Rattus norvegicus: one gene and its partners. The protein of the gene in region 1 binds, or shares a complex with, the protein of each later gene. Links are inferred from orthologs where the notes say so. Each region holds a gene or a part of one and is shown in the gene's direction. Other genes may lie near its edges. The genes, in order: Mtor, Rictor, Fkbp3, Deptor, Rheb and Rptor.

What was found.
Region 2: the proteins of Mtor (region 1) and Rictor are in contact, whole or in part, in a cryo-EM structure (PDB 6ZWM), measured with the Homo sapiens proteins. The link is inferred for Rattus norvegicus from reciprocal best matches to the Homo sapiens genes MTOR and RICTOR. Residues at the interface, in NP_001373429.1 of Homo sapiens: Arg1028, Asp1032, Lys1068, Leu1069, Asp1108, Asp1109, Tyr1110, Asp1150, Lys1187, Asn1196, Val1200, Gln1207, Asp1210, Val1211, Cys1214, Arg1215, Lys1218, Gly1219, Tyr1220, Thr1221, Leu1222, Ala1223, Glu1226, Glu1227, Asp1228, Leu1230, Ile1231, His1234, Arg1235, Arg1238; in NP_689969.2 of Homo sapiens: Leu204, Arg205, Gly206, Asn209, Arg245, Asp247, Val248, Glu249, Glu251, Arg252, Leu254, Thr258, Asp259, Phe260, His261, Tyr262, Arg263, His264, Ser265, Pro266, Asn306, Gly308, Ser311, Gly314, Val315, Cys317, Ile318, Pro319, Glu345, Ile347.
Region 3: the proteins of Mtor (region 1) and Fkbp3 are in contact, whole or in part, in a crystal structure (PDB 5GPG), measured with the Homo sapiens proteins. The link is inferred for Rattus norvegicus from reciprocal best matches to the Homo sapiens genes MTOR and FKBP3. Residues at the interface, in NP_001373429.1 of Homo sapiens: Glu2032, Tyr2038, Phe2039, Gly2040, Arg2042, Tyr2088, Val2094, Leu2097, Tyr2105, His2106, Arg2109; in NP_002004.1 of Homo sapiens: Lys160, Pro161, Leu162, Ser163, Lys170, Tyr198, Lys201, Gly202, Gln203, Pro204, Asp205, Ala206.
Region 4: the proteins of Mtor (region 1) and Deptor are in contact, whole or in part, in a cryo-EM structure (PDB 7PEC), measured with the Homo sapiens proteins. The link is inferred for Rattus norvegicus from reciprocal best matches to the Homo sapiens genes MTOR and DEPTOR. Residues at the interface, in NP_001373429.1 of Homo sapiens: Met304, Gly305, Phe306, His1494, Cys1498, Trp1501, Gln1525, Asp1527, Ser1528, Glu1530, Glu1531, Cys1534, Met1535, Ile1536, Arg1538, Arg1547, Gln1554, Leu1556, Leu1559, Gln1562, Cys1563, Lys1566, Arg1683, Leu1685, Asp1686, His1687, Lys1710, Ile1711, Phe1714, Gln1715; in NP_073620.2 of Homo sapiens: Arg54, His56, Leu57, Lys58, Thr59, Tyr60, Pro61, Val101, Arg116, Lys119, Asp121, Gly122, Thr123, Phe124, Lys131, Ala132, Arg135, Arg138, Lys142, Glu177, Gly178, Glu179, Glu185, Cys304, Asn305, Lys307, Gly335, Asp336, Ala337, Val338.
Region 5: the proteins of Mtor (region 1) and Rheb are in contact, whole or in part, in a cryo-EM structure (PDB 6BCU), measured with the Homo sapiens proteins. The link is inferred for Rattus norvegicus from reciprocal best matches to the Homo sapiens genes MTOR and RHEB. Residues at the interface, in NP_001373429.1 of Homo sapiens: Arg62, His69, Glu73, Ala101, Thr102, Ile104, Gly105, Arg106, Asn109, Tyr110, Arg112, Asn113, Phe140, Glu143, Tyr144, Phe147, Glu154, Arg160, Thr969, Gln973, Phe977, Lys980, Glu1010, Phe1011, Gln1014, Met1018, Ser1050, Thr1051, Asn1264, Lys1293; in NP_005605.1 of Homo sapiens: Lys5, Ser6, Arg7, Lys8, Arg15, Pro37, Ile39, Glu40, Thr42, Gln57, Ala62, Asp65, Tyr67, Ile69, Gln72, Thr73, Ser75, Ile76, Asp77, Asn79, Asp105, Met106, Val107, Gly108, Lys109, Val110, Ile112.
Region 6: the proteins of Mtor (region 1) and Rptor are in contact, whole or in part, in a cryo-EM structure (PDB 6BCU), measured with the Homo sapiens proteins. The link is inferred for Rattus norvegicus from reciprocal best matches to the Homo sapiens genes MTOR and RPTOR. Residues at the interface, in NP_001373429.1 of Homo sapiens: His597, Thr600, Pro632, Val644, Ser645, Gln646, Thr647, Ala648, Val649, Ala653, His686, Ala688, Gln689, Glu691, Met721, Asn722, Pro723, Ala724, Phe725, Met727, Pro728, Phe729, Arg731, Lys732, Leu734, Ile735, Leu738, Thr739, His743, Tyr771; in NP_065812.1 of Homo sapiens: Phe278, Lys282, Cys283, Ser285, Leu286, Pro288, Gln380, Ala381, Asp383, Leu384, Asp387, Glu411, Gln412, Thr414, Ala415, Val418, Trp419, Thr421, Met422, Arg427, Asn428, Glu431, Gln432, Lys973, Ile974, Asp979, Leu980, Glu981, Ser982, Lys986.

Annotation. Positions count from the first base shown.
Region 1 is NC_086023.1:164,170,985-164,174,484, forward strand, and holds part of Mtor (serine/threonine-protein kinase mTOR), read left to right. Parts: intron 1-541; 5' UTR 542-555; coding exon 556-717; intron 718-1,265; coding exon 1,266-1,374; intron 1,375-2,015; coding exon 2,016-2,248; intron 2,249-2,832; coding exon 2,833-3,033; intron 3,034-3,500. UniProt on the Homo sapiens protein: Serine/threonine protein kinase which is a central regulator of cellular metabolism, growth and survival in response to hormones, growth factors, nutrients, energy and stress signals.
Region 2 is NC_086020.1:57,538,145-57,542,078, forward strand, and holds the start of Rictor (rapamycin-insensitive companion of mTOR), read left to right. Parts: upstream 1-1,134; 5' UTR 1,135-1,200; coding exon 1,201-1,249; intron 1,250-1,408; coding exon 1,409-1,456; intron 1,457-3,934. UniProt on the Homo sapiens protein: Component of the mechanistic target of rapamycin complex 2 (mTORC2), which transduces signals from growth factors to pathways involved in proliferation, cytoskeletal organization, lipogenesis and anabolic output.
Region 3 is NC_086024.1:88,858,953-88,863,122, reverse strand, and holds the start of Fkbp3 (peptidyl-prolyl cis-trans isomerase FKBP3), read left to right. Parts: upstream 1-1,370; 5' UTR 1,371-1,393; coding exon 1,394-1,501; intron 1,502-4,170. UniProt on the Homo sapiens protein: FK506- and rapamycin-binding proteins (FKBPs) constitute a family of receptors for the two immunosuppressants which inhibit T-cell proliferation by arresting two distinct cytoplasmic signal transmission pathways. PPIases accelerate the folding of proteins.
Region 4 is NC_086025.1:88,512,745-88,516,244, forward strand, and holds part of Deptor (DEP domain containing MTOR-interacting protein), read left to right. Parts: intron 1-491; coding exon 492-626; intron 627-3,500. UniProt on the Homo sapiens protein: Negative regulator of the mTORC1 and mTORC2 complexes: inhibits the protein kinase activity of MTOR, thereby inactivating both complexes. DEPTOR inhibits mTORC1 and mTORC2 to induce autophagy.
Region 5 is NC_086022.1:11,011,944-11,016,182, forward strand, and holds the start of Rheb (GTP-binding protein Rheb), read left to right. Parts: upstream 1-1,439; 5' UTR 1,440-1,562; coding exon 1,563-1,614; intron 1,615-4,239. UniProt on the Homo sapiens protein: Small GTPase that acts as an allosteric activator of the canonical mTORC1 complex, an evolutionarily conserved central nutrient sensor that stimulates anabolic reactions and macromolecule biosynthesis to promote cellular biomass generation and growth.
Region 6 is NC_086028.1:105,375,452-105,379,742, forward strand, and holds the start of Rptor (regulatory-associated protein of mTOR), read left to right. Parts: upstream 1-1,491; 5' UTR 1,492-2,404; coding exon 2,405-2,566; intron 2,567-4,291. UniProt on the Homo sapiens protein: Component of the mechanistic target of rapamycin complex 1 (mTORC1), an evolutionarily conserved central nutrient sensor that stimulates anabolic reactions and macromolecule biosynthesis to promote cellular biomass generation and growth.

The DNA of each region.
Region 1 (3,500 bases):
CTTGGCCTCGAACTAACTCTAGCAATCCGTTCTAATCTTCTGTCTCCTCATTCTGTCTTTACCTGTGTCTAGCTTGTTCTCTCTTCAGTCTGTTTCTGTGAATCTCCCTCTCCCTCTCCCTCTGTGCTGCTCTGCCCTCCCTCACTCCACTGCACTTTCTCCATGAACTCTACTGTATTCCTAGACTGTACTCTTCCTCCTGGACTGTCTTTCCCTAGAGTAGACTCCTTTTCCTCTCTTCTGGTGAGAGTTGGGCATATCTTATTCTGTCAGATCTTTCTTTGATTTGTTACTTTAATCTGTCTTTCAATTAGTTTGACATCACTCTCAAACTAACTTACCCTTCATTGTTTAGAGTTAAAGTACTCACTTTAGTACTTTAAAAGTACTCACTTCAAGTAAAGTAGAAGTACGAACTACTGAGGGTGTGTCTGTATTCCAGCCCGAGGGATTAAAGGTGTGTGCTAAAGGCTGAGCTACACCATAACTAGAAACAGGTTCAAATAGCCTGTAAAAAATTGAAAGATGTTCTTCCCCAAAGAACCTCAGGGCAAGATGCTTGGGACAGGCCCTGCCACGGCCACCGCCGGTGCCGCCACATCTAGCAACGTGAGCGTTCTGCAGCAGTTCGCCAGTGGGCTGAAGAGCCGGAATGAGGAGACCAGGGCCAAAGCAGCCAAGGAGCTCCAGCACTATGTCACCATGGAACTTCGAGAGGTTGGTCTGTGGTGCTTCGGGGCCGGTCCTGGGGGATCGTGGCTGGTGTGCCACCTCTGGTTTAGGTCGCCACTGAGGCCCAGCATTTGAGAGGACACTAGCTTCCAGGTCCGTGGAGGGTGCAGGTTCCTTTGCAAGGACTGCACATTTCTGTAACATGTTCTGGTCTCAGGTCAGCTGTTTATTTTGTATGATTTCTTTCCTATCACCAGCCCCTTGGTTCTCTGTCTCTGACAGTGGTTGGGGTGGATCTGGAGAGTTGATAAGTCTGAAACTTTCCAAACAGACCATAGTTGAGGTCAGAGATACTGACCTGTGTGCCCCTGGTGTTAGGGTGATTTTAAGACAAGCTCTTTTCTGCTGTAGAGTAGAGAATCAGTGAGCTGTTGTTAAATAAGCAGGAGTCATGTGATCAGCTGCCTTTCACTTTAAGGCTGTGGAAATGGGCTATAACCTTGTCTTTGGTTTGAACTGTGCCTGCCCCCTCTCCATCCGAATCTTCATCCCTACAAATACACAAATCTGTCTGTGCACATCTTCCCCTGCAGATGAGTCAGGAGGAGTCTACTCGCTTCTATGACCAGCTGAACCATCACATTTTTGAACTGGTTTCCAGCTCAGACGCCAATGAGAGGAAGGGTGGCATCTTGGCCATTGGTAAGGACAGCCTCTGGTAGCAGCACCTGTAAGGACACTGGACAAATCAACTTGGTGCTTACTGTACTCTGTCTGCGCTTGCTAAAGAGTAGCAGTATCTGTTCATCTATAGTTTCAAAGAGTTTTAAGGCACCCATAGACAGGGTGCAAGTAGACAAGTACTAATTCTAGCAGAAGTCCTGGGACACACGCAAAGTGCGCTGTTACGTGTGACAACTGAGTCTCAGAACTGGTGACCTCTGTGGCCAATTTGCCAGGGGCGAGACTAGAAGCCAGCTCCTCATTCTTCTGCCCTAGGTGGCCTTCGGCAGGTCTGATCACAGTAGAGCAGGGTTTGGCACAGTGGGGTTCATGGATGCAAAAGTAGAAATGCCCTGTTTGCCCAAGGGCTGGCCGCTGGTCCTGTGAATTGCCATTCAGCCTTAAGGATAAGATGTACAGATAGGTTAGAATGAGATCATTTTGATTGACATATACAGTTCCAGAACAAAAATCCAGTCTGCTGGTTTGAATGAAAACCTGCCTTCTTCCATGTAGAAACGTACTGAGAGCAGAGTAGGGCCTCACTCACCCGTCCGCGTGCAGCTCCGGCCACATGCATTTCAGAACACGCCACATGGTCACCTCTGCTTCTTTTCTAGCCAGCCTCATTGGAGTGGAAGGTGGGAATTCCACCAGGATTGGCAGATTTGCCAACTACCTTCGGAACCTCCTCCCCTCAAGTGATCCAGTTGTCATGGAGATGGCATCCAAGGCCATTGGCCGCCTTGCAATGGCAGGGGACACTTTCACTGCTGAGTATGTGGAGTTTGAAGTGAAGCGAGCCTTGGAGTGGCTGGGTGCTGACCGAAATGAGGGCCGGAGACATGCAGCTGTGAGTTCCCACAGGGCTGAGCCCAGCCAGGGCGAGGAGCAGCGCCCCCGTCCCCCTAACTCTACCCCCAACCCCACCCCCGCCGTGTGTGGAGCTTGTCCTGGGAAAAGGGCTCCAGACTGGAGGTGGAGAAAAGCCCTGGCAGGGGGGCCCAGGATAGAGCTCTCCCAGCTGCTCCCCAGGTTAAGGAAGGAGCATCCACCCTGGTTAACGGCTCTGTCAGTCACAACTTTGTAGCTTGGCTGCCTTAACTGAAGACACCAGTCTTCTCTGACATGAAAATATTAACAAAATTGAACATCATGTTTTTGCCCAGTAGCTATTTATTGACTACCTAATGGCAGGCATGGTTCTCGACTTGTTGGTTTGCTGTTAAAGTGTCAAATTCCTGTGGGTCCTGAGTGGGTTTAGATGGCGCCAGCATTCTGCGCTGAGCACTGAGGTGCTTGGTCGGTCTTCCTTTGCCTCTCCTGGCACCAGACTTTTTTTTTCCTTGTAGGGAGATGCTCTAGGATGACAGGGAGTATCCTGAGAGAACAAGAGTCCTGGTAGGAGTAAGAGTTCTGTTTGCCCTTCTCTCCCAGGTCCTCGTTCTCCGTGAGCTGGCCATCAGCGTCCCCACCTTCTTCTTCCAGCAAGTTCAGCCCTTCTTTGACAACATTTTTGTGGCTGTGTGGGACCCCAAGCAGGCCATCCGTGAAGGAGCTGTGGCTGCCCTTCGTGCCTGTCTGATTCTTACCACGCAGCGGGAGCCGAAGGAGATGCAGAAGCCTCAGTGGTACAGGGTGAGGAGATGACTCCACAGTAGCTGCGAGCAAAGCACTTTAGTAGTCACACCATTATTTTATGCATCCCCAAGAATAGAAGTGTGTCAGTCAGAGGCTGTGTCGGCACACCTCTATAATCCAGCATTTGGGAAGCTGGAGCAAGAAGCTTCTTATCAGTGGTTGTCAAAAGACAGGAGTGGGTGTTTCTGAATCAGTAACCTGGTTGCCACTAATGTCCAGAGGCCAGTTCCTCTGCTCCAGTGCCCTGAGTCTGTGCTGATGGCTGCTGCCAATGAAATGTATGTCACAGAAAGAGTCCTAAATATGGCAACAAGACACCTGCCCTCCCTTCTTGCCTTTGCTGTGTGACATTTGACACATTGCTTAATTTCTTTATGTTTTATGTGGCTGTCAAGCAGAGGTGGTAGTGGCATTTGCCTCAGAGGTGGTATGTTGTAAGCATTAGAGCTAGGTTAAACAAAAGT
Region 2 (3,934 bases), on another chromosome or scaffold:
ACAATTGTTCACTATTATTAACAAGGGGAGCCTTTCCAATATTTGTTTCTCTTTGTGGTTTTAGAGGGGGTTTGGTCTGCTTGTTTCTATTGAGAACATTACTATTGTTTACAACACTATTAGGGCAGAAGGAGCAGAAGGTTTACGCCAATAGATCTTTGTTTTTGACGTCTGTACTGAAAAAACGAAGTGGTTAAGGCAAGATCTCCACTTTCCACTTACTTTGAAGTCTGGAATAGAGAGGTGAGGAATTGGAGGAGACAAAATACCCTCTCACTAAAGTAATCTAGTTTAAGAGAGAAGGGCCAAATGAGTACGTAATAAACCGCTTCTAGAAACTCGTAAGCTAATCACTTTTACTTGTATGCATTAAAAACATCTATCCAACGCATCCGCATTAGTCAGTGATGTAGGAGTAACAGAAAGCCAGGACCAGGCGCTCAGCCTCCTCCCTAGGCTCCGGGTGGAGAAGAAACCCTGTCTGGGGCCTCCGGGCGCTGGCGCGCGCTGGGGAAGAGTCCCGCGCGGGCGAGTGCCCTGCACGCCCGCTTCTGCACTCCTTGCACGTCCGATGCCAGGCAGCCCGAAAGCAAACCTCCGCCCAGCCGCCCGCTCCGGCGGCGAGCAGCTTTGCCTAAGATCAAGCGCGAAGCCGCTTAGCTCAATGGTCAGAGCGTGGGTGGAAAACAAACTTTGTTACGTGTTCACTCGGAGCACCGCGGTTCTGGGAAAGGATCAAAGCCACATTCCTAACTGTGCACCGCGCGCCTCACTCCCCACCCCACCCTCTCTTTTAATAATAATAAAAAATAATGATAATTTTAGCCGATGAGTAACGAAGCGGGCTTTAAAGCCACGCGGGGAGTGCAGCGGGGCGGTCCAGCAGGTGGCCCGCCCGCATCCCGGCCTCCGCCGCGCGCGCCGAGGCCCGAGCCACATCAATGGGAATCCCCCGTGGGAACTGCGCCTCCCACCACGCCTGCGCTCCGACACCCTGCCGGTCTCAGCGCGCCGGGGTCGCAGCCCACCCCGGGTCGGCGCCTGGTTGCTCCGCGCCCGCGGGCGAGCCTCCGTGCCGAGGGGCGGGGGCGCTGTCGCGGGGGGCGGAGGTGGGGGGGGGCGGGAACCGCGCGCGGGGAGGGGAAGGGGTTCTCGCGCGATCGGGCGAGGTTTCCGGTGTTGTGACTGAAACCCGTCAATATGGCGGCGATCGGCCGCGGCCGCTCTCTGAAGAACCTCCGAATACGAGGTAAACCCGCTTGCCGCCCTCGCTCTCCGCACCCGGTGTTCGCTGTCCGCCGCGGCGCTCGGCTTTGCCCGGGGTCTGGGGTGGGGGAAGCAAACTGGGCGTCGGGCGCCGCTGGCCTGCGATGGTTCCTAACTGGGGCTGTGTGTCTGTTTCGCACAGGGCGGAATGACAGCGGCGAGGAGAACGTCCCGCTGGATCTGACCCGAGGTAACGCGGGGCACCGGGGCCGCTGTGCACCGGGGCTGGGGCGGGCAGGCACGCGACCCGCGGGGCAGCGAGGGGCCGAGCCCGCGCCCATCCCCCTGCCCCGCGCCGGTTTCCCCCCGGGTGAGCCCCTCCGGGCCTGGGGCGGCTGCCGGAGCGCGGGAGCGCGGGGCGGACCTAGGTGCACCCAAGGACCGGGGCTGCGCGTACGCCCGCGGGAGCGTGTTTGCACCCCCCGTCCGCTCCCGGGCCCCCGAATCCCGGAGGCGGCCTCGGACGAGGGGAGGTAGAGGTTGTTATTTAGGTTACTGGAGGATGTTTGTGGGAAGAGCGACCACATCCTGCCCTCCCCGTCCCCCGGAGCAGATGCTGGATCTGCCGGCTTCTTGCTGACTGCGTGACTGCTCTTCTCTGCCCGCGCGGTCCTCTGGGGGCCCCGCAGCTTTGCGAACTCGGCGGTGAAATCGAGAGCCGGTGATTACTGCTAAGTGTCTGCTTTATGCCGCGTCTCCCTGCTGCTTCCCGTTCCCGGGCCCGCTGGGGCTGTAGTTGGCTAGAGACCGCCCCCTCACTGCCGCAGGTTCATTGTGTACCTTCTGTCTGCAGTGGAGATGCGTTTGTTTACACCTTCTCTGCAGGGCAAGCCCGGCGTGCATTTTTAAGAACCGTCTCCGCCGAGTGATCGGTGTTTCTTGCTTGGGTCACCGGCCACCAGACTGGTGTTTATTCCACAGTATCTCGCCAAAGCATTAGTAGTTCTGTGCAAGGAGTTCTTTTTTCTCTTCTTCCATAAACAGGAGTTGGACTACAGATTTCGACAGTCACTTCCCACAGCGTTGTAGTTGAGTGTAACTAACTAGTTCTGCTGTGCGGAATCACTTTTCGAGTTCCGTAAAACACCTTAGGATGTGAAAAGAAAAGACACTCGTAAACATTCCACATGGCATAAATTTGTTCCCCCCCCACCTTGTATGTAGTGACCATCGTATAAAGTATAAGGATGGTGGATGTCGGTTTTGGGAGACCCATCTCTGTATTGACAGCATAATTCATTCTCAGTTCTGTTTCCGTTTTTGTAAGAGCCCGGTGTAGATTGAAAGACTATAGTTTTGATTTAGTTAGATGAGTACATGTTTGTTATTTGTTTCTGATAGTTCAGGAAGTTTTGAGTAAACTAGTCCTTTCAAAGTGAGAAACTTTTTTAAGATACAGTACAGTGGTGTGTAAGTTCTAGAAATGGCAATTAGTTAAATCGGTGATTTGGAACTTTTTTTTATTAGCTAGGTTTGAGAAACAGTATAGAAAAAGGTCAAGCTTTTGACTTTTTTTAATTTGTAAATTTAATATATATATATATGAAAAATTTCCAGCAAGCATTCTGAGTATCCTAATACAGATCTGAGACTTAGCATTGTGCTTCTCTCTCTCTTTTTAAAGATTTTTATTTATTTTATGTATGTGAGTACAGTGTTGCTATCTTCAGGCACATCAGAAGAGGGCATCAGATCTCATTACAGATGGTTGTGAGCCACCATGTGGTTGCTGGGAATTGAACTCAGGTCCTCTGGAAGAGCAGACAGTGCTCTTAACTACTGAGCCATCTCTCCAGCCCCAGAATTGTGCTTTTCTAACCATGTAGTTGGTCAGTGATTTCAAGAAATTGTGAGAAGAGACTGCAAGGTAAACCTGAGCCTGGCGTACAGTAAAAGCCTGTTCAGATATGGGGTTGGAGATAAACTGTGTAGTGTGTGATTTTGTTAATCTTTATACATTTCTGTGGTGGTGTCAGAATTTGGGATTGTAGAAAAGCTTATTTGAAACTTGCTTTGCTTAAATATTAACTCAGACAAATCTATGGGTATGATTGAAAAGAATCAGTTCTCTGAGACTGTTTACTTAAACATCTATGTAATAAATATAATATAGATAGCTGTTCCTAGGGTTATAGAAAATGCTTAGAAAATGTTTTCATTTGCCCTGATAAAATGTACTAGCGTTCCAAATACGTATTCATAGCCAGTTGACCTGATTGCAAAAGCAATGCACAACAACGAGAAGTTATTTGAGAACTGTAGGCCTCAACCATAAGGAAGTTTAGCAGAAAAAAGTTACGAGTTAGACTCGTATATAGTGAGACAGCTGATTAGAGAAAGTGTTTGTTTAACAGACACTTCATTGTTTAAAAGCTTGTGGATCACACATGAGGAAAGTTCATGAGGAATTGAACTTTAGTAATGATTTCAGACCCATGAGGCATCTGGGTTGCAGCTGCTTGTAGATTAGATTACAATACGGAAACAGATAAAAGTTTGAGCAGCTAAAGTTTTGTTTTGCTTTATGCTAAGGCAAGGTTTGCTGTCATGCAGATTGTTTTGTGACGTCTACTGTGTAGGTGGACAACCGTGGTCATAGTGATCTGTGAAAGAGACATCCAGGCATATCAGACACTGACTGCGAAGTCAGATAGTTCTGCATTGTAAG
Region 3 (4,170 bases), on another chromosome or scaffold:
TTTAAATGTATTCTCAAACCTGGAGTGGTGGCTCTGGCCTGAGGTGATGTCTGGAGAATCATGAGGTCAAGGTTATCCTTGGTTACCAGAGTTGCTAGGCCAAGAGTAACATGAGTAAATAGAATGTAGTTTTTGCTCTTCTTCAAATGAGGTATCACTGTTAACCTGATACTACTACATACAATGTTAAGATACATAACTTTGTGATCCCAGGGCAAGCATCCATTGTGACCGTAAAATGATTGAATATTTAAACCTGAAGATGAGAGTAAAAGCAAAAGTAGAGTTAAATAATTAATATTTTTCTCCATTTATCCTGAGAAAATGCAGTCTCATGTTACAAATGGCAACTTTAATGTTTTGCCTGTCTAAAGAAAGTGAATGTAATCTGGCTCTGTATTGAGAAACTAAAACAAATTTTTGTCATGGTATTTCTTTTTCTGTTTCCCTCCGTATGTTCTTGTTTCACACAAAGGTCTTGCTCGGAGGCTCACTCTGGTCTGGAACTGAGCATGTAGATCAAAATGGTCTTGAGCTGGCCAATGTCCTGCCTCAGCTTGTAAAGGGCTATACAGGCTCCTGAGTGCTTCAGGCATACAGATTTAGAGCAGTAAGCGTTCTTGTGCAGTTCTGTTAGTCATAGCTTTCTGCTTTCAGACTTGGGTACCAGTACAATTTTAGTAAATCTCTGTTCCCTCAGTTACTGAAGCAAAGTACAAACACACGTAGCTCCTGCTGTATCGGAAAGATGTATTTTAAGTGTAGCTTAATTGCATTGTTTTATTCAAGCTTCTAAATTTGTAGGCAAAACTCTGTTGGGGGAGGTTTCCATTTAGTTTTGTGAAAATTGTTTGATGGACAAGTACTAAGTCAATTTAGATAAGATTAGAATAGAACTAGATAAAACGAAACAGAAAACTCGAATGCTGTTATTTTCTTTAAAGAGTTTACAATCTGTACTTTTAAAGACGTAGTAGGCCGTAAATAATAAACAGGTGGGGCTTAGAAAGCGTCAAAATAAGCTTTGACATCATCACTGCGTTCATCAGGCTAACCGACTACCACAGATCTTTCTACTCAACAAGGCTCTCACAACCCAGCCTTGACATCACCCTAGCCCACGTCTCAATCCCCTTTAGGACGACGGCGGCCCCGCCCCTGAGTTTCCCTGCAGGCCCCAAGAAGACTAAGAATGGCAGAAGTCCCGCCCCCTCGAGCATGGCGCATGCCCAGGCCACGCTTCAGGGGTGGGGCTGCGTAGAATATGTGGGCTGACTCAGCAAGGCATAGGACCCACCCCTAGAGCGTGGCGCAAACCCGGGCCACGCCCTGGGGGCGGGGCAGCGCCGGGCTGAGGCGGGCTGGCTCAGTGCAGCAGCAGCAGCGGGGGAAGATGGCGGCGGCTGTTCCGCAGCGTGCATGGACCGTGGAGCAGCTGCGCAGCGAGCAGCTGCCCAAGAAGGACATTATCAAGTTTCTGCAGGATCACGGTTCAGATTCGGTACCAAAGGCTTCTGGGCGGCCGGGCTGGGGCGTCCCGGGGCCACTTCACCCCCCCGGAGATGCCTTACATACCGGATTCCTCCGTGCCCCCGCCCTCGCCTTCTGTGGCCCGTGCTGGCCAGGCCCGAGCGGCCCGCGTGAGCTCCCACCCCTTGGGCCGCCCCAGTTTCTGCGGGGATCAGCCCTTGTTTCCTAGGCCAAGGAGCTGCGATCGTAGATTTAAATCTCAGTTGGGATCTGTGAGGGCCGAGGACCTGAGAAAAAGGAACCTTGAAATGTTGGCGTCTCAGGCGGGGGCGAGGAACGGGGAGTGCATGCTTCCCGGGCTCAGAGTGTGCTGGCCACTGGGAAATGGGAGGGGTGTAAAGCTGTGAGGGAGTCTCGTGTGCATCTTGTTTGTCTTACCAGTGTATTAAATACACTGGTCCTAAATACAATGAACTATAATCTGTGATTTTCAAAAACCCATGTATTAGTGTTTTAACTTTTTCGTTCCAAAGCCTTTTACAAAATACCTTAGGGGAATTAAATGCGAATTTTTAATATTGTGGTCTTCTATGATTATAAGCACGCAGATTTGAAAAATTCTAGTTGTATAATGCAGTTTTCAGCCTTGTCTGCATATTAGCCACCCATTTTGTAGTCACAGGATTATTTTGTTAGACTTTGACTTCTTGTCCTTCAGAAAGGGTCATTCATTCCGTCCACCCTCACCCCCCAACTCCTTAATGTGTTTTGGAGGCAGCATCTTACATAGCCCAGACTAGCCTCACACTCACCTCACATTCACCTCGAAAGTGCTAGGGATAACAGCCCTGCGCCATATATGTCCTGTTCCATACCTCAGCTAAATTGTTGAATGATGGTACACGTTGTGCACATATCTACTGTTCAGAAATAGAAAGTGCGGCCTAAATTAGGTTTTCCTACAGTTTTCCAGAATCTAAAATGTCAAAATAGTGAGTGTTGTGTGATTCCAAAGTGAAAATGAATTTGGTGACAGACATTTAAATGCGTATTTTCCAGTCATCATTCACCTATTCATGCCTGTGTTTTTAGAGTCCTGCTATTTCAGTTTAAAAAAGTTTCTGGGTTCCTTTGAAAAGATTGTTTTTTCACTTAAGATCTCGTTGGGAGATTCAGGAACTCTCACACATGGCATCAGGATATGGTTCAGCCCATATTTTGGAGCATGTGCAGTAACCTGGAGACCTGTGTTTGAATGAATACGCAAGGGTGAAAGGGAAAGACACCCTTGCAGATAGACCTGTATATCATTTTACTGGATAGTCTCTTAAGCCATTATAATTTTCAGCAGTAGAGTTAGGCATTTAATACCTGAATACTGTACTTCTCTAAGCTGTCTTTAAACAGCTTATTTATCCCACTGTAAAATGTAAAGTTTTTAATTTTTTCCCTTCTTTTAGACTCTTAGGCTACGCTGACCTGACTTGGACAATTTCAAGGGACTTGAAACAAATAACAGTTTTGTAATAATTTCTTTTCCCCAGTGATCATTCTCTTACCTAAATTAGTTGATGGTCATTATTTTTGTTAATCATAAAACATTAAATAGTTGTATTTTAGATATTTTTCTGGAATCTCAAAGAAATAACAAGAGTGTTGAAGTAACTGATTATTCTATATAACCAGCTTTTATCTCCTTTCAACAGTCCTTCATCAGTTAAAATCAGTTTTTTATAGTAGTAGAGGTCTTGGTGGTCTATGCCTTTAATCCTAGAGGCAGGTAGATCTGAGTTCCAGGTCAGCCTGGACTCCACAGTAAATTCTAGGCTGGGCAGGGTTACAAACAGAGAGGAAGGAGAGAAAAGGTAAAGACAGAAAAATGCAGTGGAGACAAAAACAAAAAGTAGCTTACAGAACTCTTTGGTGCAGGAGACAGCTTGAGAAAATAAGAAGATTTGGAGGTTCAGAACTTCCAAATACAGTAAAGGAAGGAGACTGGAATAAAGGGCTGGAGAAATGGCTTACAAGTGTGATGTTATGTTAGGATGCCCAGGACCACTCTGAAGCTGTAGGAGGGAGTATGTGCCTATACTCACAATGTCTCATGGGAAATGGAGACTAGAGAATCCTTGGAAGCTCTTAGGCCAGTGAGCCTGTAAGAAAGAACCTGTCTTAACATGGAGAGCAACGCCCGCATATGGAATTCTGACTTGAACATACCATGCATGCTTTTTGTGTGTCCATAGGCACTCACAAACACACAAAGGTGTTTTAAAAATTGGGTTTTTAAACACAAGGTTTTTAACCTTCACCAGATTTTAAGATGAACATACTATGAATTTATTGATTTTTTTTTTTTTTTTAACTTTTGTTGTTGCTTACTTTTTGCTTCTTGAGACAGTCTTACTGGGAACATAAAGTTGGCCCAGAGCTCTCCATCCTGACTCAGTCTTGAAGATGCTTTGTTATTTTACATTTATATTTATATATTGGCTTAATGTGTGTGGGCATGAGTGCCGTGACACTTGTGGAGTTCAGAGGACAACTTGTAAGAATCAGTTCTCTGGGTGTGGGCTCTGGGGATCAAATCCAGGCTTGTGCAATGTGACAGACTATTCCACATCAATTTATACTTCTGCTAATCTTGTACTGTAGAGAACCTGGGTCTTTTAGACCTTACTCTGTGTGTGTGTGTGTGGG
Region 4 (3,500 bases), on another chromosome or scaffold:
CCTCTGTAATGGCAGTGAGTGCTCTTAACCTCTGAGTCGTCTCTCCAGGCCCAGGTTTGGTAATTCTTGAATTCATGTCCTGTAGGAGAGATGGCCCTAGTTGGTAAAGTGCTTAACGCCCAAATAGGTTGACCTGAGTTTAGATCCGCTGCACTCGCATAAAAGATGTTAAGATTTAAAAAAAAAAAAAAAAAAAAAAGATATGCTGTTGTGTGGACTCCAAGGCATAGGTTACATTATGGGCCCTGTTTTAAAAAGAGAGACAGAGAGGGAGATACATATACATACATAATATGATATGATCCTCGCCTCACACCCATCCCGTGACATATTACTATTTCATTTTACAGTCCGGGAAACTGAAAGGGGGTGGCCTGAGTTACTCTGTCTGTGAGTATGCGGCAGAACTGGACGTGAGATTTTTGCTTTGCAGCTGAAAGCCCAGGAGTTCTAGGACTCCTAGAGTCACTGTGCTTGCTCCCCCTCTACAGTCAGCCCCAGCAAGGAGATCAAGATTGTGTCTGCCGTGCGGAGGAGCAGCATGAGCAGCTGTGGCAGCAGTGGCTACTTCAGCAGCAGCCCGACGCTCAGCAGCAGCCCCCCTGTGCTCTGCAACCCCAAATCTGGTGAGTGACAAAAAGGTGGCCATGCTCCTATCTGGGAGGCTTGGGGTCGTGTGCTGGCGGAGTTCCTTAGGACGCAGAGATCACAGGAGCGGGAATCTTACAAAAGCATACTCTTGAGTTAGCACCCATTGCTGGCTAAGAAAGACTAGCACATGGCCTCCGATAAAGTCTCCTGGAAGGCTACTGCTAACCCACAATGCAGTCCAGTGCCAGGATGCCCTGCGCCTTTATGTTGACCCTTTATGTTCAACATGCATGCCCCTGAAAGGAAGGTATAACTTTGCTCACGAAAACTGCCTTCTGAGAGCTAGCTCTCAATGTCAGCCAAGGGCTGACCAACACTAGCTAGACCAGAAGCCAAGACCAGCTGCTGAGAGAAGTTCTTCTGCCTCTCAAAAGGGCTTCAGCAACTTGTAGATGCTTTCCTAGACTATGGTGATCAAGGATTTCTGTGGACTGTGTGCTTGCTCTCTCTCTCTCTCTCTCTCTCTCTCTCTCTCTCTCTCTCTCTCTCTCACTCTCACATTTGTTTGTTTGCTATACTGCTAGATGCTGGGATTACTGGCATGTACCATCCCACTTGGTCTCAGTGCCTCTTATACATAAGGAAGAAGAGAGTGGGTGTATTCAAGCCCACCTATTGGAATTCATCGGCATCTTGCAGTTTCAAAACCTACTCATCAGCCTCCATGAAGACTTAACCATCATAAAGCTGGCAAGATAACTTAGAACATAAAAGGGTTTTCCATGCAAATCTGACAACCTGAGTTCAATCCCCAGAACCTTTGTAAAGATGGAAGGAAGAACTGAAAGAACAGAATTCTCTGACCTCCACACATGCGCTATCTCAACATCTCTGTGTCTGTGTCTGTCTGTCTTCGTGTCTGTCTGTCTCTGTCTCTCTCTCACTCTACCTCACTCTTTCACAGACACACTCTCTAATAAATAAAAATGGAAGTATTAGTCATCTCTGTGAGGATTATATATAGATTTACTAGTTGATATAAATATCTGGCCTCACCACTCTCTCAAAAGAACAAAGCCATCGCTGCTGCCATCGTCCATGTCATGGTGACGAGCGAGAGGGAATCCGCAGGATAATTCCCTGGGTCTCAAAGTCTCTGCGTCTCAACACAATAAAAGGAAAAAGTAAATGGCTAGCTCTGCTCCCAAAAATATCATCGATTTCATAACCCCAGAGGAGTCACAGGCTTGGAGAAGAGCTTGTCTGCTAAGCATTAAGGTCTCAGTGCTTAAACACTCACCACGTTTCCTACCTCCTCCTTGGGGCCCGAGAGACGCCTTTCTCCTCTTGATATTTGACCTACTCCCTCATCCTTCAAATATCCTTGATATTTGACCTCATCCCTCATGGCTTCAAAGCTTTCTGAAAAGCAAACGTTCTAATCCCAGACATCTGTCCCCTTCCCAAGAAGCAGTTCTTGGCTCTTCTTGAGCCTGGGGCTCACCCGGCAGGTGGGCCCAGCTGCCAGGGGAGGCATCATACAGTCCTGCCCCTTGCTGCTACTGCTGCTACCCATTTGTTGGGGACTAGTGACTGACCTCAGAGTGAATCTGCTGCCAAAGGCAACTGCAGGTGGTCATCTATCCAGATTAGACCCTGGCCCTGACTCCTCATTCACTTAAATCTCTGCTCTCTGTGTACTGTTGCTAGAATGGTCCCTATGCCCTATCCCGACTAGCAGTCCTGGGATGCTAGGACAACCCCTCTCCAGTTCCAAATTATCAAAGACTGGTCAGGGAAATTCATTACTAGAGGAGAGAGGGAGAAGTTCTTTACTAATGGAGTTTCAGGCAGCTGTCTCTGATGCCTGGTAGGCAACAGCAGTGAGCTAAGAATAGACAGACAATACTCCACACTGCTGTCTTCCAGAGTTTCTGAGACAGCGTAGCACAGGACAGTATGAGAGTTGCTAAAAACACCGGCCCTGGCACCCATGCTTAAATTTGACCCTAATTTTACTACCCACGTTTTTAGCTACAGGTTGTTGGAAATGCACAAATTAACTTTTCTGAACCAGTTTTCTTATGTATAAAGTTAATGGTAAAAATTTTTTTAAAAAAATATAATACTAAGTAGTATATCTTTCAGCTTTAAGTCTGTCAGACACTTCTGTGGCTTTAGGATTTTCTATTATGAGTTTATTATATCTAATTTCACTTTCAAATGAAGCAAGCATGGTGGCTGGATACAGCTGCAATCCCAGCACTAGAGGCTGAGGTAGGATTCCCGCGAGCTTGAGGCCAGCCTGGGCTACATGTCATGCAAGCAAGACCCTGTCTTTAAAAACAAAACAAATTTTAAAAATGAATGAGATTAGTATAGGGGTGAACCAGACTCTAAATCAGTGATTCTCCCTAATGCTGTGACCCTTTGATACATACAGTTCCTCATGTTGTGATGACCCCAACCATAAAATTATTCTCATTGCTACTTCATAACTGTAGTTTTGCTACATTATTAATTGTAATGTAAATATCTGATATGCAGATGGTCTAGGCGATCTCTATGAAAGCTTCATTTGATTCCCCAAAGGTTGAGAAGTCCTGCTTTAGAGAATTAGCTCAGGTAGAGATTAAATGAAAAATGGAGGTGACAGGATGCAGGGAAGAGACCCAGCCCATGGAGAGTACGCTGGAGAGTTACCCAGTCTGACTCCTCGGAGCTTGAGGCGGCCTTCTTATGTTTCTAGGTTACTTATTAGGGAAAAGAATGAAGTTTAGTAAATGAGATGCGTGCAGTATGTTAGGGACACCAAGTTCAATGGAGCCTGCATCTGCAGGGTGGCTGGCAGACTCCTGGAGTTTTAACATATATCTATGTAGATATAAGAACTTTGAAGAAAGAGCTGG
Region 5 (4,239 bases), on another chromosome or scaffold:
GTTCATCCTGGGTTCAATTCCTAGCACTGAATAAACATGGTTTGGAAGCCGGAAATCAGAGCACTTGGGCAAAGACAGAATTGAAAGATCAAGGGTAGCAGGGCAGCATTTAATCCCAGCACTTTGGAGGCAGAGGCAGGTGGATCTCTTAAGAATTCCAGGCCAGCCTGGACTACATGAGACCTTATAAAAACAGGTCTATTGTGAAGGACAAGAAATTAAGGACAAGCGTGCTGTTCACGCTCTTGGCACCTTTATTTCCAGGCCTAGCTTGGGCTTTCATGAACTAGACCTAGGGACTAGTTTTTCTTCCTGTTCTTCAATATGAGGACATCCCAATCCTCTAGTTCTCCGGAAACAAGGGCTCTGTGCCAGTACGCCTGTTGCAGAAAATATGACAGCCTTCCCTTTTCAGGCATGGCCCGCCCACACCAGACAGCGAAGCCGCCTGCTTTTCCTCAGCGTTCTTGACAATGGCTGACTTTCACGTTTCTCCAGAAATAACATCTCGACTGTTATGTATGAAAAGACGCGCTGATCTGGCTGCAGGATACCCACGAGTGCGCCTTTCTATGCGAGGTGCGCGCTGCCCAGCGTGTTGCCCGAGTCCGCACTAGGACTGGCCAGCTCGCGCTGCTTTTAGTGGAATCTCTGACATTTGCGTTCTGCACAGATTCCATTCTTCCCACAGTTCCTCAGCCACGAATAAAGCTTAGTCACCACCCACACTAAGCCCAGACTAAAGCTAACATAGCAGGACGGTAATTTAAAGTATAGACAAGAACGAAGAGAGGTGACAGCCAACCTACAGCCCGTCAGCTAGGGCCACGCGCCTCACGCCTTTTAAGGGCCGGCAGGCGCAAGTCGGCCAACGGCTCGTCACTTCACCAATGACCGCGCTTCTCGCCTATGGTTCCGCCCCCGCACGCCATATCAGCCAATCACTGGGGAGTTGTCCGCCCGCCCACTCGCCCGTAGGGCCACGCTTTTGGATCACGCAGGCGCCCCGCGTAGCAAAAGCAGCCAGGTTGTATTTTTAGCTCCCGGTTGAACAGTGTCTCTCCTTGGCTCCACCCCCTCCTAATCCCCAATAGAAGATGGAGTTTCCATTGCGTCATCGCGCGGCAGTCTGGAAGCCGTCCAGTCAGAGCTCGGGAAAGACTGTCGTAATTAAAAAGCGGCGGAAGTAGGTGGGAGGGTCATGACGCAGCGAGTTTTGGTCGTGACTTTTCCGGGGGCCTTCGGGCGTCTCCGCTTTTTCCCTTTAAAGTAAAACGTTCCCCCGACGCACCCCCGCGCGTTCCGGGCTGGGAGGCGGTGGCGGGAGGCGGCGCAGACGCGGCCGCGCGCGGTCACGTGGGTGTGTTGTTGGGGGAGGGCCCGCGCGTTCGGTTCCGGGCGGTTGAGCGAGCTAGAGAACGAGCGAGCAAGAGGCAGCCGCGCCCGCCGCCGCGCTCTGTATGCCGCGTTCCCCCGGCGCACCCGCCGCCGATAGTCTGAGCCGGAGGAGTCGCCGCCGCTGCGGTTGATGTGGTTGGGCCGGGGCTGACCAGGCTACCAAGATGCCTCAGTCCAAGTCCCGGAAGATCGCCATCCTGGGCTATCGGTCTGTGGGTGAGTGGCGGCCCCGGTGATGCCGGGGTCTGATCCCCAGGACGTGGACGCGCCTGCGAAGTTTGTGGCGGCGCGGCCATGTGGCGGGCGGGCGGGCGGGCGGGCGGCGCGCGTTTCATAACCTCCATTTTGAGTGGAGGCGGCGGCGCCTTCCCCTGTACCCGGGCGCGACGGACAGGTGGCGGGGCCGCAGGCCGAGGCGACTGAGTTCTTCTCTAGGCGTAGGAGCTGCGGACCACTGCACCGGTCCTGCGGCCCGGAGCAGTCTAGTCGGATCCCCGTGTCTGTCCCGCCTTCTCTGAGCACGGTCTATCCCCACCCGTTTCCCCAATCCCACAAGCCCCGGGCATTTCAACAAAGGAAACCTCTCCCTGTGACCTTTCCATCTGTAAAGAAATTAAACCTTTTAAAAGAAAACGGAGAAACTTCCAAGATGTTTGGCCACCAAGTTTTCCGCCTCCAAGAAACCTAGACTGGACCCCTCATAGGCCCGCTAGGTAGCAGCTGGCGGCCAGCACAGGGAAGGCGAGAAAGACATCTCCGAACTCTCGGTGTCCTATTTTCTCCCCCTTTGAGAAGAAACAAGGCCAGGCTCTTTGAACCAGGCTGTTAAAGTAATTCAAAAGCCCTTTTGTTTTCCCAACACCACCACCAAGCGATTGACATACATTTGAAGCTGCTCCTAGTAGTCATCTTTTTGCCGAATAGAGGTGGGCCTGGGTGGAGTGGGGAAGGTACAAGGTGTCGAGACAGTAGTATTCAGTCTCTTATGTGAAACAGGACGTATGAACTTGACCACGTTGCAGGGCGAGGCTTTATTGTCTTTGACCGGAACCCGAGAACATCATGTTCATCTTTAAGTGCTGTTTGAAAGCCGTAACTGTCTCCGAAAAATGTATGCTTGACAGGGACAACTGACATGTGGTGAAGTGAGTGGGAGGTGGGGAGTTTGGTTGCCGAAGGAGGTGGCCAGTAGAAAGCCTGCCCCTGAACGGACTCCTGTAGGCTTTTCATTCTGCGTTCTCACCCGGCTTTCCACTGCTGGTGTCTGGGTCTGTGCTCTTTGACCAACATCAGTCTGGGCCTGCTTACTCATCCTTTCACTATCTTTCCTCAAGGTCTGGAGAAACCCCTTAGGAAGGAGTTGGAAGATTGGAGACAGTATGAGAGTTGAAGGTGCCTAGAGTGGAAAGGTGCTAAGTGAGGTGTTTATCTTAGGAAAGAGTAGGTGACTGCTTTAACAGTTGCAACCCTAGAGTTAACATCCACAAAATTACGGTTTCAGTGTCTCTAAGAGACCATGTACTAAACACCACTATGGAGCTCCTGGTTGAGGTAACCGATGCTGGTTGTCTGGATCACCATACTGTTGACTGTTTCTTAATTTCCCCCCAATTCGGAGAATGAGACCACGATGTAACTTGGCTGTTGATTGAGTACCCTCTAATTAGATAAATATACAGAGTGTTAACTAATTGAAGATGGTAATCTTGAATGTGCAAGGCATATCAATCCGTGAGAATATTCTACAGGTCTGGATTTTATTTTCTTGTAATTTTTGGAATGGCACTGGATTTAAATAAGTTTGGTGTTATGTCTCCTTGGCTATAGAACTTCTGTCAGTAGAAACCCATCCTGATTTTTTAGGCAAGGTCTTATGTAACCCAGGTAGTCCTGGACTCACTGTATAGCCTAGACTGGTCTTCCTGTGAAAGCCCCACTAGAGCAGGGATAGGTGTGCCTGGCTACTCCTATACTTCTCCCCACAAAGGTTCACTCTAGGCTGCTGGTTGGAAGTGTGGTGCTAGCTGGTGGAGGAGCACAGGATTGTAGGCCTATTTTCAATGCCCCCAATGTGTCACACAGCCTGTTTTCTCCATAGTTGTTTGCAAGGGTAATGCCTAAAGTAAGATACTACGTTACTCCTAATGTTTCCTTTGACTTTAGTTTGCTTTCCTATGAACAGAAATATTTTATAGTTTCAGGATTCTTTGCAGAGGAGTGGGTTGGTCTTTTGCCAGCATGATTGCATGCACTAGCCGCTCTGCCAGGATTACCCACTTCTCAGAACCTAAGAGATATGTTCAGTGCCCTAGTATAGAAATGTCAGTGTTTCTAGGGTGTGTGTGTGTGTGTGTGTGTGTGTGTGTGTGTGTGTGAGAGAGAGAGAGAGAGAGAGAGAGAGAGAGAGAGAGAGAGAGATTGATTCAAAACCATGCCTTTTTATACTGTTCTTTTGAGTAAATGGTTTTCTGCTTTGACTATACTGCTGGGCATTGTTACTGGACGTGCCACAGACTTTTAAGTTTGCTTCAGTAAGCACTGAAATGTGGCTTTCAAGTCTTCATTTGTTTTTTTTTTTTGTTGTTGTTGTTGTTTTTGTTTTGTTTTTGTTTTTTGTTTTTTTTGGTTCTTTTTTTTCGGAGCTGGGGACCGAACCCGGGGCCTTGCGCTTCCTAGGCAAGCGCTCTACCACTGAGCTAAATCCCCAACCCCTTCATTTGTTTTTGAAACATTGATAAACCTATGAAAAGGGTTTAAAATGGGACAGTAAAATTCTCTTCTGTGGTATTTTCCTGGTATTTGCAGTAGGGAAGATTTTTGCAGACATGTCACCTCAATGTC
Region 6 (4,291 bases), on another chromosome or scaffold:
TGGGGACGGCACCTGTGGGCATCAGAACTACAAAATAAAGTAGAGGGACAAGGTGGAAGCAGGAGATGCTGGGATTTCTTCTAGACATCCCGGAAGTCCTGAAGCCCCTGCTGGTGGTGATGGGGAGGGGCTGGTGGTGATGGGGACACTATTTTGGAGCACTGCTCCGAGACTAGGAGGATAATGGGCTCTGTGTGATACTGTAACCACAGGAATTCTTGGGATGATAACTGAACAGAGAGCTACAGGAAACACTTCCCACATACTGGTGAGAGAGATGCAGCCTGAACTCTCCGGCTGAAAGCAGCTCAGATGCTACTAGGATTGTGGTAGGGACTGCCACTTTATGTCCAACTCTCTATCTACTCTGAGGAACACATCTTTGGAAGGCTAATCCAGGCTTTAGTGGTAAGGCATACAGTTGGTAGACTACTTTAGAGTGGTGGGACCAGTCAGAGTTCACTCTCATTGGTGGCCTGCTATGTCTTGGCATCTTGTTTGTTTGTTGTTTTTGTTTTTCATGGCAGGGTTTCTCTGTGTAGCCCTGGTTCTCATGGAACTACTAGCTTCGTAGACCAGGTTGGCCTCCAACTAAGAGATCTTCCTGCCTCTGCCTCCAGAGTAATGAGATTAAACACTGGGCCCACCTTTCAACCCTGTTCTTAAAGGGGATTTTTTTTTCTTTAAAGACAGGGTCTTATTTTGTAGCTTAGGGTGGCCTGGGCATCTTCACAAGCTAATTTTATCCTTTCAGTAATATTCTTTAATATTATTATCCAAACTTTATGGTTCAGGAACCTAAGGCTGAGAAAATACAGCTTGAAATTAGTAACACTGACTCTAACAGAGATGCCTCCAACACCAAAGCTGAAGATGGGCTCCTTCGTCTGCCTGAAATCTAGCTAAAGGTTAAGAGTGTCTCACTAGCACCCTGGTTATGAAAGGCTGGCACATGTTACGTTTACTTTATATCCCCACTGCACCAAAGCAGTTCTCAGGGTGTGTCAATAACTGAGATTTACTGAATTGAAACAGAGAAGTAAGGCAGGGCAGGAGGCTTGCTTCCGTGGGCAGACAGCAGCAGCCTTAGTCGTTTGCACATGAAGCTGTAGCAAAATAAGAGTATAATACTCAGGAAATAAGGTAGATCAGACAAAATTAATTCATAATCGATGAAATCTTTCCCTTTTTAAAAGTGGGAATATTAAAAACAAAGCCCTGATAGTGTTATGTGTCTAATATCAACAACAGTCCTTTCTGAGGTTTTTTTTAAATAGCACCCTTTAAAATCAGGACGAAACAAAGTGATTTTTTTTTTTCCTTTAATATCAAGGCACGCAGCTTTGTTTGTAGTAGCAAAAAGCTTTTAAAAAATAACTGAACGGACATGGTTTCAATCGCAGGATTGATTTTGTAACACGTCTACTTTACTAGTGGAGATCAACTAAGGAGAAAGGACTTGGTAACCCGGGTAACGGCGTGGGGGAGGGGAGGACGGAACGCCGAACTCTCCGCCCTAGCCTGGGTAGAGCGGTGAGAACGCTTGAAGAGGTTTGGCTTATTGGACACACCGTAGACAGCGGTGCATGCTGGGCCTTGGTAATATGGCGTCCTCCTTGATGTGCTGATGAGAGGAGTTTTCACTGTGGCTCCAGAGCAGAGGGCAAAACTCCCCTGACCTAATAAGCCCAGTATTCCCGTGTGGTCCGCTGGCCCGTGTCGCGCGTGTATCAGGACTCGTTCCCGGGCAGGAGAGAGCCACGAAGCCGAAGGCCAGCACCGGCCAGGCCGCGCGGACCCGGGGCTGAGGAGCCGACTGCGGACGGGCACGATGGGCCGGTCCTGGCTCAGGTTGCAGCCCCTCAGGCGAGTGCGGGACCCGCAGGGCTGAGAGCCGCTGGACGAGCCCCGAAGCCCCCTGAGCGCGATCCCCTGACGCCTCAGCCGAGCCAGCGCAATCAGAGAACCCGCACTGCGAGCGGGACGGCCTGCCTGCCCTGGGATCCACTGAGGCGTTGGAGGCCGAGAGCAGGGTCATCCCCGGGCCTGAAGTCTTTCCCGCCTCTGACAGTCCGGCTTGCAGTCCTCCAGACGACCTCCTGGGCTGCGGGTGGCTTGCGACTGGGCGCGAGTGTCGGCGCAGCTCCTGGGGCTGCGGGGTTGGTTACCCACCGATTCTTCACCCCACCCCACCCCGCCCTCTCCGACTTCCCGCTCAGAGTTCGAGATAAAGATCTCCGAGTTTTTACCTGAATAAGGACCTTCGTGCACTCTGCCGTCATCTCTATTCCCAACTTCCCGCTTTCCTGTATTTCCTTTTACCAGTTCTGGTACACACTAGTTTTTAAGGCTGGAGGTTCTCGAGCGCTTGCTGCCAAGGACTCCCCCTCCCCCTCCTCCCCTGATGGAGTCGGAGATGCTGCAGTCGCCTCTTATGGGACTCGGGGAGGAAGATGAGGCAGACCTTACAGATTGGAACTTGCCTTTGGCGTTTATGAAAAAGAGACATTGTGAGAAAATTGAAGGCTCCAAATCTTTAGCACAGAGCTGGAGAATGAAGGATCGGGTAAGTAGATTCTCATGGCATCTTTTTGAGTTCATAGTTTTCCAACTAAGAAAGTTCTGAGCAAGAACAGCCTCTCCTAGAAGAATGCTGGTATTTTGAAGCCACATGTTGCACGTTAATTAAAAACTAAAAGTTATTCCAGACTCTGGTTTTGGTTGAAAGTGGGTAGGGCTAGTCGATACTCACTGGGTAGTGTTAATTCAAAAGAGTTTTAATTCAGAGGGTGGAAAAAGCAAATTAGGAACTGTTGTTCCACAGATATTTATGTGCCTTTTAATACACTTAGTAGCATTTAGAGAAAAGACAATTTTGGAAATAACACTTAACGTCGTGCTTAGTCTATTTTTGTATCTGCTGTTTTTTTGTTTTTTGTTTTTTTTTTTTTCCAAATAACCAGGTTGAAGTACAGGTGTCTGGTACAGTATGTTGGGAAACGATTACTTGAAATGTTTAGCCAATAACAAATTAAGGCAAAGTTATTTTAAAGTTGCAGCAAGTTTCATCCCAGTCCTTTGAACATCTTCCGTGGGAGGCTGACTCCCCTAGTATGTGACTTCTGGTCGCTGTAACCTGGAGATATTTCCTCAGTGGGAAATTTGGGAGCATGGGGTATGATGGGTTGGAACCTGGGTTCAGGTTTTAGGCCGTTCTCCTGCCGGTGGAGTGTCATGAGTAGTTGTAGCAAAGAAAACAGCCAGATGTAGCGGTCAGTTCCTGATCTAGCAAAAGGGGAGTACTGTCTCTTGTCTGCACACTCATCCTTTGAGTGCTTAGTTGTTTTCTCCTTCCTGACTTTGTACATTTGTGTGAACTTTTCAGTATAAAAGAGGAAGTTGGTGTTATAATGTGTCATTTGTTATAGTTGATATGCTTTTACTTGAGACAGTTGTTTTAAAAAGGTGTATATTGATGAATACTCAATGTAGTTCTAGCAGGGACCAGTGTTTCAGTTTGGGTAAATTTTACAAGGCTATCAATTTTTGTTGCTGATGTTGTTGTTGTTTGAGACAGGGTTTCTCTGTAACATCCCTGGCTGTCGAGAAACTCAATCTGTAGACTAGGTTGGCCTTGAACTCAGAGATCTGCCTGCCTTTGCCTACTGAGTGCTGGGATTAAAGTTATGAAAATTTCCTTCAGTGAAAAGCAGTTTAGGTTGGGCAAAGGTCAGTCAGTCCTGTAATCCCAACACTCTGGAGCTTAAAGCAGGAGAATCACAAGTCAAGGCCAGCCTGGACTACAAAGTGCAGACCCTGTCTTAAACAAGAAGAATAGAAGCAATATAAGTTATAGAACTGATGGTTGAGAGAGACTGCATAATGTCTGTTTTATAGACATGTCTAGTACTAACAAAATAACATTTTCTTTTTGGTTGTAATGTTTATATATAGCAACTCTCTCCCTTTCCCCCCTCCCCAGTCCTATTTTGTCCAGTTTTTATTTAAAATTTTTTTTTCCTCCTTTTGAATGTGGTTCCTTTTTTTTTTTTTTTTCTTTTTTTCGGAGCTGGGGACTGAACCCAGAATGTGGTTCCTTTTGCTATCCAAACCTGTACTCAAACTATTGAAATCACATCAATGGATATCTTTTGAACTTTTAATTTAAAATGTTTCTCTCTTTGGAGACAGGGCTTTATGTAGTGCAGGCCAGCTTGGTGTTTAGTCAGAATGGCCTTGGCCTGGTTCATCCACCTCCCAAGTGTTAGGATTACAGATGTGTACCACTGTA